Callithrix jacchus: one gene and its partners. Each later gene encodes a partner of the first gene's protein in a complex. Links are inferred from orthologs where the notes say so. Each region holds a gene or a part of one and is shown in the gene's direction. Other genes may lie near its edges. The genes, in order: DGCR8, DROSHA and ERH.

Evidence for each region.
Region 2: the proteins of DGCR8 (region 1) and DROSHA are in contact, whole or in part, in a crystal structure (PDB 5B16), measured with the Homo sapiens proteins. The link is inferred for Callithrix jacchus from reciprocal best matches to the Homo sapiens genes DGCR8 and DROSHA. Residues at the interface, in NP_073557.3 of Homo sapiens: Asn728, Ile731, Leu732, Lys734, Leu735, Gln736, Glu738, Met739, Lys740, Leu742, Ala743, Arg746, Arg750; in NP_001369437.1 of Homo sapiens: Leu984, Leu987, Phe988, Thr998, Tyr999, Thr1001, Ala1002, Ile1003, Gln1005, His1008, Phe1069, Asp1073, Leu1074, Glu1076, Val1077, Trp1078, Asn1080, Pro1082.
Region 3: the proteins of DGCR8 (region 1) and ERH are in contact, whole or in part, in a crystal structure (PDB 7CNC), measured with the Homo sapiens proteins. The link is inferred for Callithrix jacchus from reciprocal best matches to the Homo sapiens genes DGCR8 and ERH. Residues at the interface, in NP_073557.3 of Homo sapiens: Lys107, Phe108, Ser109, Pro110, Asp111, Leu112, Leu114, Leu115; in NP_004441.1 of Homo sapiens: Val8, Pro10, Thr11, Thr18, Tyr19, Ala20, Glu27, Lys34, Met35, His39, Arg42, Met43, Phe60, Leu64.

What each region holds. Positions count from the first base shown.
Region 1 is NC_133502.1:211,882,068-211,885,714, forward strand, and holds part of DGCR8 (microprocessor complex subunit DGCR8), read left to right. Parts: intron 1-298; coding exon 299-405; intron 406-964; coding exon 965-1,092; intron 1,093-2,470; coding exon 2,471-2,584; intron 2,585-3,602; coding exon 3,603-3,647.
Region 2 is NC_133503.1:173,760,992-173,764,638, forward strand, and holds part of DROSHA (ribonuclease 3), read left to right. Parts: 5' UTR 1-9; coding exon 10-29; intron 30-2,686; coding exon 2,687-3,520; intron 3,521-3,647. UniProt on the Homo sapiens protein: Ribonuclease III double-stranded (ds) RNA-specific endoribonuclease that is involved in the initial step of microRNA (miRNA) biogenesis.
Region 3 is NC_133509.1:104,385,948-104,389,594, reverse strand, and holds part of ERH (enhancer of rudimentary homolog), read left to right. Parts: intron 1-3,337; coding exon 3,338-3,458; intron 3,459-3,647. UniProt on the Homo sapiens protein: May have a role in the cell cycle.

The sequences.
Region 1 (3,647 bases):
CCCTCCCGAGTCAGGTGGGGGAGCTCCTCTTTGGCATCTCGTATCCTCGTGGCTGTTTGTCCCAAGGCAGAGGCATGGCCGGGTTTCCCTGGGTATACAGCAGCCCTGTGGCCCTGGCCACCAGTCAGTCCTGCAGGCCTGAATTGGGTGTGTGGACAATTTCCTCCGGGTAAGAAGCATTCTGGGGAGAGGCTTGCTTTTTTCCTCAGCCTTTAAGGGCTTCCCAGAGCAGCCCTCCTCAGAGGCCACTGGCTGCTCTGCTCAGGGGATGCCACCTGTTTTCTGTTTTTTCTTAAAGAAACCATGGAATGGGTGACACGTCTATCAAGTTTGAAGTGGTTCCTGGGAAAAACCAGAAGAGTGAATACGTCATGGCGTGTGGCAAGCACACAGTGCGAGGGTGGTGTAAGGACTCCTTCCCTGCTGCCTGGTGGCTGCCGGGGGGTGATGCCAGGCGGGTTGCCCCTGGTGTGGCCCTGTGCCTCTCTGGCTTGCTCCCAGCTGTTGCTCTGGCATCGTCCCTAAGTCCAGCTATGTGTGCTGGCCACCACACATTCAGCCTAAGGTGGACTGGTGGCTGTCCTGCCTGTACTTTTTCTGTCTTCTCCCTTCCCCTCCTGTCACCCCTCTCTTTGGCCAGCCCCTGTCCCTGTGGCAGGAGGAAAGGCCCTTCTCCTCAGACAGCCAGCAGAATCCTGCTGCTCCCTGTGTCTTGGCGGGAGTGAAGCTCTTGGCTGTGTGTCTTTGGTTGTGCTCTCAGCTCCTGGACTCTTAGGGGCCACTCTCAAGGTGGCAGCTGGGTGCTGTGAGACTCAGGTGCCTAGAGCAGTGGCAGAGTGCTGTCTGTTCCTGTAAAATGTGCCCTGGCTGGCCATCGGGGTGTGGATCAGGAGGGCTAGGGGTGTCCCATGAGCACTGGGTGTTGATGACCCCTTCTCTCCAAGCTTGCTCTTTCTCTGTGTAGGTAAGAACAAAAGAGTTGGAAAGCAGTTAGCCTCACAGAAGATCCTTCAGCTGCTGCACCCACATGTCAAGAACTGGGGGTCTTTACTGCGCATGTATGGCCGTGAGAGCAGCAAGATGGTCAAGCAGGTAACTGGCCCTCATCAGGTCGCAGGGCAGCCTGTACTGCCACCCTGGAGTGTGTTACTGGGGCTCTGTGCTCAGAGGGGCAGGGCTGGGCAGCTCTGCTCTTGCTTACAGCTGCCTTTCTCCTGGGCTACTTGTGTGGTTTTGTGGGCAGGGGGTGGGGTCATCCCAGCTACATCTCCCATCCCAGTCTGCTGGGAATGGTCAGTGAAGTGTGGGTGATTGGGAACGCAACCTGGGCCCAGCTATGTGGGTCATAGGGAGATGGCTGAAGTGCAAGGCAGCGCTGGGCAGGCCCGGCCTGGAGGTGTGCAAAGGCTCAGGTGCCAGGCCCAGTCCTTCCTGCTTGAAGGAGAGCGAGTGTGTCAGGGCAGCTGTCCCTGGTACTAGTGCCAGTCCAGCTCTAAAAGAGCATATGTGTGCCATCTGTCTTGTTTCTGCTGTTCTGGCCAAGATCTTGCAATGTACTCCAGTGCTCGCTCGCTCCTTAGGGGTGGAGGGAAACATGGGGAGGTGAGTGTTCACCTTCCTCATTTCCCCCAAATGACTATAGAAGCTCTCTGGGTTCTGGCCATCTTGGTCAGTGGAATGGGAAGTAGATGTGGAGGGGTGGGGGCTGCATGTGGGGTGGCCCTAGGACTGTGTGGTGGGTAGACCCTGTGTCCAAGGGTGAGGGCGTCTATGCAGGCCACCAGGGCGTGTTAAGCAACTTGAGGAGAGACATTTTTGGGAAGCAAGTTGGAAATGTAGGTAGTGTTTGCTTCTGCCTTTGCTGTGTGTAGTCCTTGGCTCTGACGGAGGGAGAGAAGGCAAGCCTTACTTGGGCCCCAGGGTGGGAAACTTCTCTAAGCAGGAGTGGAAAAGTCCCAGCCTGGCACAGCCACAGCTGTGGGGAATGCTGGCATCCCGCGGAACTGTAGCACCCTCGGGGCTGGCCTGAGATAGGAAGGGGCTGAGGCCAGCCTGATGCTGCTCTGCAGTCACGGAATGTGCAGAGAGTGAGCTCAGGGCCGGGGGCTGCCGGGATGGGCTGCAGCTGTTCTGCCAGTGTGCTGTTCCTCCTGGCTGCAGCCGTGCTCTGGTTTCTCTCCTTGATGAGGGCTCTGAGTACTATGAGCACCTGACCTCCCTGCTCTGCCCAGGGCAGAAAGTAAGCCCAGTGGCTATGGACTGCCCCTTGTCCTCTGCTGCTGTCAGCAGGCCTGGCATCACTGAGACGGGCAATCAGCCTGCAGTCGTGTGGCCATAGCTCCTGGCTGTTTCGTGTCTGCCAGGCCCTGGGAGCACCTGCCTTCAGGGTCCCAGGCATACAGCTGCTGGGCAGGGGGCAGGCCACGGAGCTATAACCTGCAGTCTGAGTGTGAGGTGCTGTGCTTCCCAGGAGACGTCGGACAAGAGCGTGATTGAGCTGCAGCAGTATGCTAAGAAGAACAAGCCCAACCTGCACATCCTCAGCAAGCTCCAGGAGGAGATGAAGAGGCTGGCCGAGGAGAGGGTGAGTGCCACCCTAGCGGAGGGCTTCCCGGCCATGGCCATTCCTGTGGCAGCTGTGGAGGGACAGTAGACCCCAGGACCTGTGCCTGAGCGGACACCTTGGAAATGCTTGGATCCTCCTTCCAAAATCAGATACAGGCTTGGTTTTGAGCTTCAACATGTATGAGTTTCACAAGTCACTTCAGTTTTGGTTCTGTTGTTAGAGAGCTGGCAGGCCAGCCTGGTGGACCATGAAGGTCACGGCCTTGGTGGGCCTCCTGGGTCCCATGTCTACACTGGGTTTTTGGAGATAGGTCAGTGTGCCTGCCAAGGTAGAATCTGTAGGGCTTGGTCCTGATGAAGCCTCCTACAGCCACCTTTGGGAACTGCACTCCAAGAGCGGCCTGTCAGGCTGGTAGTGTTGTCTTCTGTCCTCAGGTATCATCTGTGTGGCCACAGCATGACCCGCCCACCTGGGCCTTCTTTGTGGGGAGCTTTCTTAAGTGTGGTAGTCCCCTAGCCTGAGTGATAGTCCTAGAAGGTGTCTGCTGCCGTCCAGGCCAGCAGGTCCCTCGCTGCTCCCTGGGGTGGGGCTTGGCCTCCTGGAGCCAGTGAGACTGCCTGGTCTGCCCCTAGTCAGAAGAGGGTCTGTGGGGCTGGAGGGCAGCAGGCACAGGACACAGTGCCCCTGGCTGGGCCTGAGGGAAGCAAAGGTTGGGCAAGGGAGAAACACCTAGTGGGAAGGCCTGGCCTGTCATTGTAACTGCACCCAAAATTCTTCACTTCTTGGTATGTGTCCCGATTACCAGGGAGGCTGCACACACCATGCTCTGATGGCAATCTAGGGGGCCTCCAGGCTGCAGACTCAGCATGGCCTGCCTCAGGCCTTGCCTGTTCCTCCCAGCCTGGCATCACAAGCACTGGTGCCCTTGGGGCTGCAGGGCCTCCTGAGTCTTCTGGGCTCCCCCTCCACCCTGTGCCCTCCCAATCCTCTACTGAGCCCACCTCAGCGGCACCCCTGGCCTTTGTTGTTCTTTCAGGAGGAGACTCGGAAGAAGCCCAAGATGTCCATTGTGGCGTCTGCC
Region 2 (3,647 bases), on another chromosome or scaffold:
CAGTGCATCATGATGCAAGGCAGTACATGGTGAGTGTTGTGATGGGAATGGCAGTAGTTAGGAGAACAGAGAGAGGAACAAACATTGGTGCTGGCCTATAGAGGGTGGAAAGGATTTAGATACTTGGGGAGACAGGATAATATGCCCGTTCTTTCAGCAGTGGGCACAGTACAACAGAGGGCCATGCACAGGGCTAGAAAGCCAGACCAGAACTGTTAATGGAAATCCCAGAGCCTGCCTTGATAGCCCTTACAGTTCTGAGGTGCAGTAGACATTAAAGGTGGAATTAGGTCCTTAGTAGGTGGATTGTAATTATTGTAGGACCTGCTAAGAAGCAACAGAGAGTGTTGTGAGAACAAGGAACCTAACGAATCGTTGGGGGCAGTGACAGGGTTGTAGAAAGGCCAGCAAGGATATTATTGTAATAGTTATGCAAGAGATGATGATGTGAAGTAGATTAATTCAGGAAGTATTTATGAAGCAGAAACAATAGGAATTTTTGTTTATTTTTTATTAAGGGATAGTTGCCATATAAGTGATAGCAATTTTAAAATAAAATTTTAGCTAAGGATGGGGGGTGAGGGAGGACAAGTCAGGTGATTGATTCCCTGGTATATGTCTTAAGAACCATTAATGGTGTCATTTATTGAAATAGGAAATACTAGGAAAAGAGCAAATGTTTGTCTTGGAGGGAAAGGTAATTAATTTGTTTTAGCATATGTTATGTTGAATTTGCAGAGTCAGTGAGACACTCAAGGAGAGAGATCAGGTTGGCAATTAGTAGTGAGGGTCTGGAGCTCAGAAGTTGGGGGCTAAAGATGTAACTTTGGGAGTTACTGACAGATTGGTGGTAATTCTAGCAATGTGGGTAGGTAGTGTCACTTTGGAAGAGAGAGCGAGCAGAGCACCTGGGCTAGACCCCTGAAGAATACCAGACTGTTAAAGGCCCCCTAGCAGAGGAGAAGCTGGCATGAGGAACAGCCAGAGATGTAGGAAAGCCACAGTGAGGGTGTTATGTCAGGAAGCCAAGAAATGCATCCATGGGGGTGGGGGCTGGAGAGGCAAGCGGGGAGGAAACTGGACTGATCCAACAGAGATCAAGCAAGTTGATTGAAAATGACCTTTGGTTTTCAAGACGAGGTGAACACTGATCATGACACTCATTGGATTGGTGGCAGAAGCTGAAGTTGGATTAGAGTGAGTTGGAAGTGTATACGCTTTTGTCTTAGCTTGGGCTGCCATGACTAAATGCCATGGACTGGGTAACTTAAGCAGTAAACACTTATTTCTCACAGTTCTGGAGGCTGGCAGTCCAAGATCAGGGTGCCCGCACAGCCAGGTTTCGGATGCACGCCCTCTTCCTGCCTTGTAGGTGGCTGCCTTCTTGTTGTAGTCTCACTTGGCAAGGGGTGGTGGCGGGGATTTCTTTTCTCTTCCTCTCTCTGTAAGGGTACTAATCGCATCATAGTTGCATCTCAGATTTCCCACTTCTATATAGCATCACACTGGGCGTTAGGGTTTTCTCGGCATGAATTTTGGGGTGGACACCCGTAGGGTATTAGGGTTTCCTCAGCATGAATTTTCGGGTGGACAGAAACATTCAGTCTGCAGCCACTTTTTCTGGTCATTTGACTGTGAAGGGGAGGACACAGAAGGGGCAAAGACAAGGGAAACCTGGAGACCAAGGACAGTACTTTATGCTGGAGTAAACCCAAGCACTTTCAAATGCTGATGTGAAGGGTCTGGTGGTGGGGAGAGGTGGAAGATTGCAGTGGGAGGGTGGTAATCCCAAATATGCATTTGGAGATGGGATCCAGAGCACTTGTGGCAGGATAGGCTTTGTCAGGAGGAGGGAATTGGGAGAGGCTGGAATGGGATCCATTGTAGAAATGGTAGGAGAAGCTGAAGGAGTTCTTTTCTGATGGTTTTTGTGTTTCTGTTTGGTAGGAGACTAGTTATGTGTTGACTGTGAAGAGAGAATGGGATATGGGGCAGGGTCCTGAATGTTATCAGTAGTTATGGTGGGTAGTTCACCATGCCAGAGGAATGGGTTGGCAGAAGCCAGTGATCATGAATTTCTTTGGCCACCACCCTGCCCAGTCAGGTATTTTTCTATAGTACTACTTTCTGGTCAGCCTCCAGAAAGCAAATTATTGGGTTCTTTGAGGGCTGGGGTATTGCCAGCTTCTTGTGACTGAAGTAGAGCAGGGCAGAGGAGTGTAGGGTATTAAAAATGAATCATGGAGATGCCGATGCTGGGCAGTGGAGTCTGTGCTGAATGGAGAGGGAGGTGAAGATGGGAAGATGCTGGTGCAGATGTGCTTGGGACCGCCTATGGTGAGGTCAAGATCAGAGGGCAACTTGAGCAAAGGCATGATAGCAAATGGTTGAATAATGGGATGTTGAATTGCTCATTTTGGAAGTGGAGCAGCTTTCAGGAATGGTTGTTCCAGGGACTAAGCATGGCAGTGGGTTGGGTGGTCAAGAAAGGGGAAGAGGAGTTTATTGACCTTAAAGGGTTTCAGATGTTAGCAGGAACCCAGTATTGAATGGATGGAATATTCCAGTGCCTTCACTAGGGAGTCTTTGAGTTGCTCATGAAGATGGTCAGGCATTTATGAAATGCTGTTAACACAGTGAGGATTAAAAAAAAAAACTTCCTTTTTTTTTTTTTTCCACCATGAAGTCACAGAATGTCATTCCACCCAGGACGAGGATGTCCCCGAGGACGAGGAGGACATGGAGCCAGACCCTCAGCACCATCCTTTAGGCCCCAGAATCTGAGGCTGCTTCACCCTCAGCAGCCTCCTGTGCAATATCAATATGAACCTCCAAGTGCCCCTTCCACCACTTTCTCAAACTCTCCAGCCCCCAATTTTTTGCCTCCACGACCGGACTTTGTACCCTTCCCCCCACCTATGCCTCCGTCAGCACAAGGCCCTCTTCCCCCCTGCCCAATCAGGCCCCCTTTCCCCAACCACCAGATGAGGCACCCCTTCCCAGTTCCTCCTTGCTTTCCTCCCATGCCACCACCAATGCCCTGTCCTAATAACCCCCCAGTCCCTGGGGCACCTCCTGGACAAGGCACTTTCCCCTTCATGATGCCCCCTCCTTCCATGCCTCATCCTCCGCCCCCTCCGGTCATGCCGCAGCAGGTTAATTACCAGTACCCCCCAGGCTATTCTCATCACAACTTCCCACCTCCCAGTTTTAATAGTTTCCAGAACAACCCTAGTTCCTTCCTGCCCAGTGCTAACAACAGCAATAGTCCTCATTTCAGACACCTCCCTCCATACCCACTTCCAAAGGCTCCCAGTGAGAGAAGGTCCCCAGAAAGGCTGAAACACTACGATGATCACAGGCACCGAGATCATAGTCATGGGCGAGGTGAGAGGCATCGGTCCCTGGATCGCCGGGAGCGAGGCCGCAGTCCTGACAGGAGAAGACAAGACAGCCGCTACAGATCTGACTATGACCGAGGGAGAACGCCGTCTCGCCACCGCAGCTACGAGCGGAGCAGGTAAGCCACACGTGTGTATTTCTTAATGAACCTCAGGGGCCCAGGCACAGTCATTTTCCATTTGGCATGGCAACCAAACCAGAAGGGTCCAGTAGTGCATTTTCATTTATACAAGGAAAGACAGCAC
Region 3 (3,647 bases), on another chromosome or scaffold:
AAAGTGTTGGGATTACAGGTGTGAGCCACTGCACCTGCCCATTTTTTTTACTTTTTAATAATAGCTATCCTAATTGATGAAAGATGGTATCTCATTGTGGTTTTAATTTGCATTTCTCTGATGATTAGTTTGATGATCATTTTTTCATGTGTTAACCACTTCTTTTGAAAAATGTCTGCTTATATCCTTTGGCCACTTTTGAATGGAACCATTTGTTCTTTTCTGGTTGAGTTGTTTGAATGACTTAGATTCTAGATGCATAGTTTACAAATATTTTCTCCCATTTCTTTTTTTTTTTTTTGAGGTGGAGTCTCACTCTGTTGCCCAGACTGGAGTGCAGTGGTGCAACCACAGCTCACTGCAACCTCCGCCTCCCAGGTTCGAGTGATTCTCCTGCCTCGGACTCCCAAGTAGCTGGGATTACAGGTGTGTGCCACCACACCCAGCTGATTTTTATATTTTTAGTAGAGACTGGATTTCACCATGTTTGCCAGGCTGGTCTCGAACTCCTGACCACAGGTGAGAGCGACTGCACCCAGCCTACTTTTTTCTGTGGGGCTTAGAGTTTGGGCTCCTACTTTTAGGTCTTTGGTCTGTTTTAGGGATGTGTCCAACTTCATTCTTTCACATGTGGCTATCCAGTTGTCATAGGGCCATTTGTTGAAAAGAACATTCTTTCTTGAATTCTCATGCTTGTCAAAAAGCATTGACCATCAATGTGGGGGTTTGTTTCTAGACTCTCATTCCGTTGATCTATATACCTTTCCTTATGCCAGTACCACATTGTCTTGATTACAGTAGTTTCCTAGTAAGTTTTGAAATCAGGAAGTTTGAATCCTCCAGTGTTGTTGTTCTTCAAGATAAGTTTGAGTTTCCTGGGTCTCCTGCATTTCTGTGTCAAGTTTAGGATTAGCTTGTTGGTTTTTGCAAAAGCAGCTTGGATTTGTATAAGAATTGCATCGAATCTGTAGATCATTTAGGGGAGTATTGCCATCAGGTCTTCCAACCCATGAACATGGGAATGTGTTCACACCTGTCATCCTAGGACTGTGGGAGGCCAAGGTGAGCGGATTGCTTGAGCCCAGGAGTTTGAGACTAGCCTGGGCAACGTGATGAAATCCCTGCTTTACAAAAAGTATAAAAATTAGCTGGGCATGGTGGCGCTAACTGTAGTCCCAGCTCCTTGGGAAGATCACTTGAACTTGAGAGGTCAAGTCAGCAGTGAGCTGTAATCAGGCCACTGCACTCCAGCCTGGGCGACAGAATGAGACCCTGTCTCAGGATTTAAAAAAAAAAAAAAAATTGTTCCGTGACATTTTATAGTGTAGCATGTACAAGTTGTGCATTTCTTTTATTATGTTACATTTATTTCTAAGAACTTTATTCTTTTTTATGCTGTTATAAATGAAGTTTTCTTAGTTTGATTTTCAGATTTGCTAAGGTGTAGAAACAGAATTTATTTTCATACACTGATCCTATATCCTGCACCCTTGCCGTACTCATTTTTTAATTCTAATAGGTTTCTTATTGTTTCCTTGGGATTTTCTATCTACAAGATAATGTAGATTATCTGCAAATAGTGATAGCTGTACTTCTTCCAATCTAAAGTCCTGTTTTCTCTTTTTCTTGCCTAATTGCCCGGCTAGAACTTCTATTACAACGTTGAATACAAGTAGCAACAGTAAATATTTTAGGATTCTTCCTAATCTTAGCAGTAAAGCATCCAGTCTTTAACCATTAAGTGTGATGGAGGCCAGGCGCAGTGGCTCACGCCTGTAATCCCAGCACTTTGGGAGGCTGAGGCAGGTAGATTACCTGCAGTCAGGACTTAGAGACCAGACTGGCCAACATGGTGAAACCCTCTCTCTACTAAAAATACAAAAATCAGCTAGGCATGGTGGCACACGCCTGTGATCCCAGCTATTCGGGAGGCTGAGGCAGGAGAGTCGCTTGAACCCGGGAGGCAGAGGCTGCAGTGAGCCAAGATTGCACCACTGCACTCCAGCCTGGGTGACAAGAGTGGAAATTCCGTCTTAAAAAAAAAAAGTATGATGCTAACTATGGGTCAATTCCTTTTAAGACATGTGAATTTATTTTCCTAGTTTTTTCTTTCCATTTATTAACTCATGTTTGATATTCTGTGATCACAGTGTAGTATGCCAGTAGCGATCAAAAACACTAAGATAGTTGTTTGATAGTTCTGTGGTTGAATAGTATTTTTATTAGGAAATTTAAAAGGTTAATTTGGAGCTAATAAAGGGCCTTTGTACTGTACACAGTATAGGACGTGTATTTGCTAGATAACTAGCATTTATGTCACTTATCCATTCATTGTGGTAGTCTTAAATAGTTGACAGCGGGGATAGACTGAAAAGATATATTCTCCTTTTGTGGGAATAAGAAAGGAGAATATCATTGAATAAAAACTTAATAGATAATGTACTCTATAGATAATTATAGTTAGTAATGTGGGCTTGCTATTAATGATTCTGCTCATCTTTTTTATTATTTTGAGTACTTACATGCTTGTTTGTGTGCTGATGCTTTATGTGCATTATTTCAAATAAACCTCACAATTCTATGAAGAGGCACTCTTAACTCTGTTTGACAGGTGTGGTTTAGGGAATGGAGTCATTTGTCCACGGTTTGACAGAAGCAGAGCTGGAACTCAAGTCTGTCTGCATCCATAGTCCAGGATTACTTGGACTTAAATTACCACATTGCTACAATAGAATGATTAAATAACCACATTAGAATAATCTCTTTCTTTGTTGCCAATTTCTAATGTGGTTTTTTTTTTTTTTTTTTTTTGGCTTCAGAAAGAATTACTGACCCTTAGCTCCAATGGTTTGAAGTAATCATTTTATTATTAAGACACAAAATAGTTACACCACCATTGTGGTGAAGACTGGAGTGCAGTGATGCGGACATGGCTTACTGCAGCCTTGACCTCCAGGGCTCAAGTGATCCTCCCACCTCAGCTTCCCAAGTAGCTGGGACCACAGGCACATGCCATCATGCCTGGCTGAGTTTTAAATTTTTGTAGACATGAGGTCTCTCTATGTTGCCCAGGCAGGCTGGTCTTAAACTGCTAGGCTCAAGTGATCCTCCTGCTCAGCCTTCCAAAGTGCTGAGATTACAGGCATAAGCTACTGCACCCGGCCGGCTGAATTTATAAAAAACTATTTGCTAGTGGCAATAATCAAAAGCCATCAATCTACCATCTTTTCCCCAGCCCAACTTTATTAAAGTAAATATGATATCGACATATAGCACTACTCATATCTAGAAGTTTATGTGATTGTAAGATTTTGGTTTTTGTCCTATCCTTCCTTAGGCGTTTGTAAAATGTATGAAGAACATCTGAAAAGAATGAATCCCAACAGTCCTTCTATCACATATGACATCAGTCAGTTGTTTGATTTCATTGATGATCTGGCAGACCTCAGCTGCCTGGTGTAAGTATTAGCAAACATGTCTGTTATCTTGTGTTTTTTAATGTTTTTCTGTCTGTTTGAGGTGATTTATGGTATTGGGAGCTAACACATGCCTGACACTGATCTTTGCATTTGCATAATGTTTAGTAATTAATATTTCTCTTACAGAAATAAGATATTGGCAATATAAAGCCAAAGGCACAGAAAAAA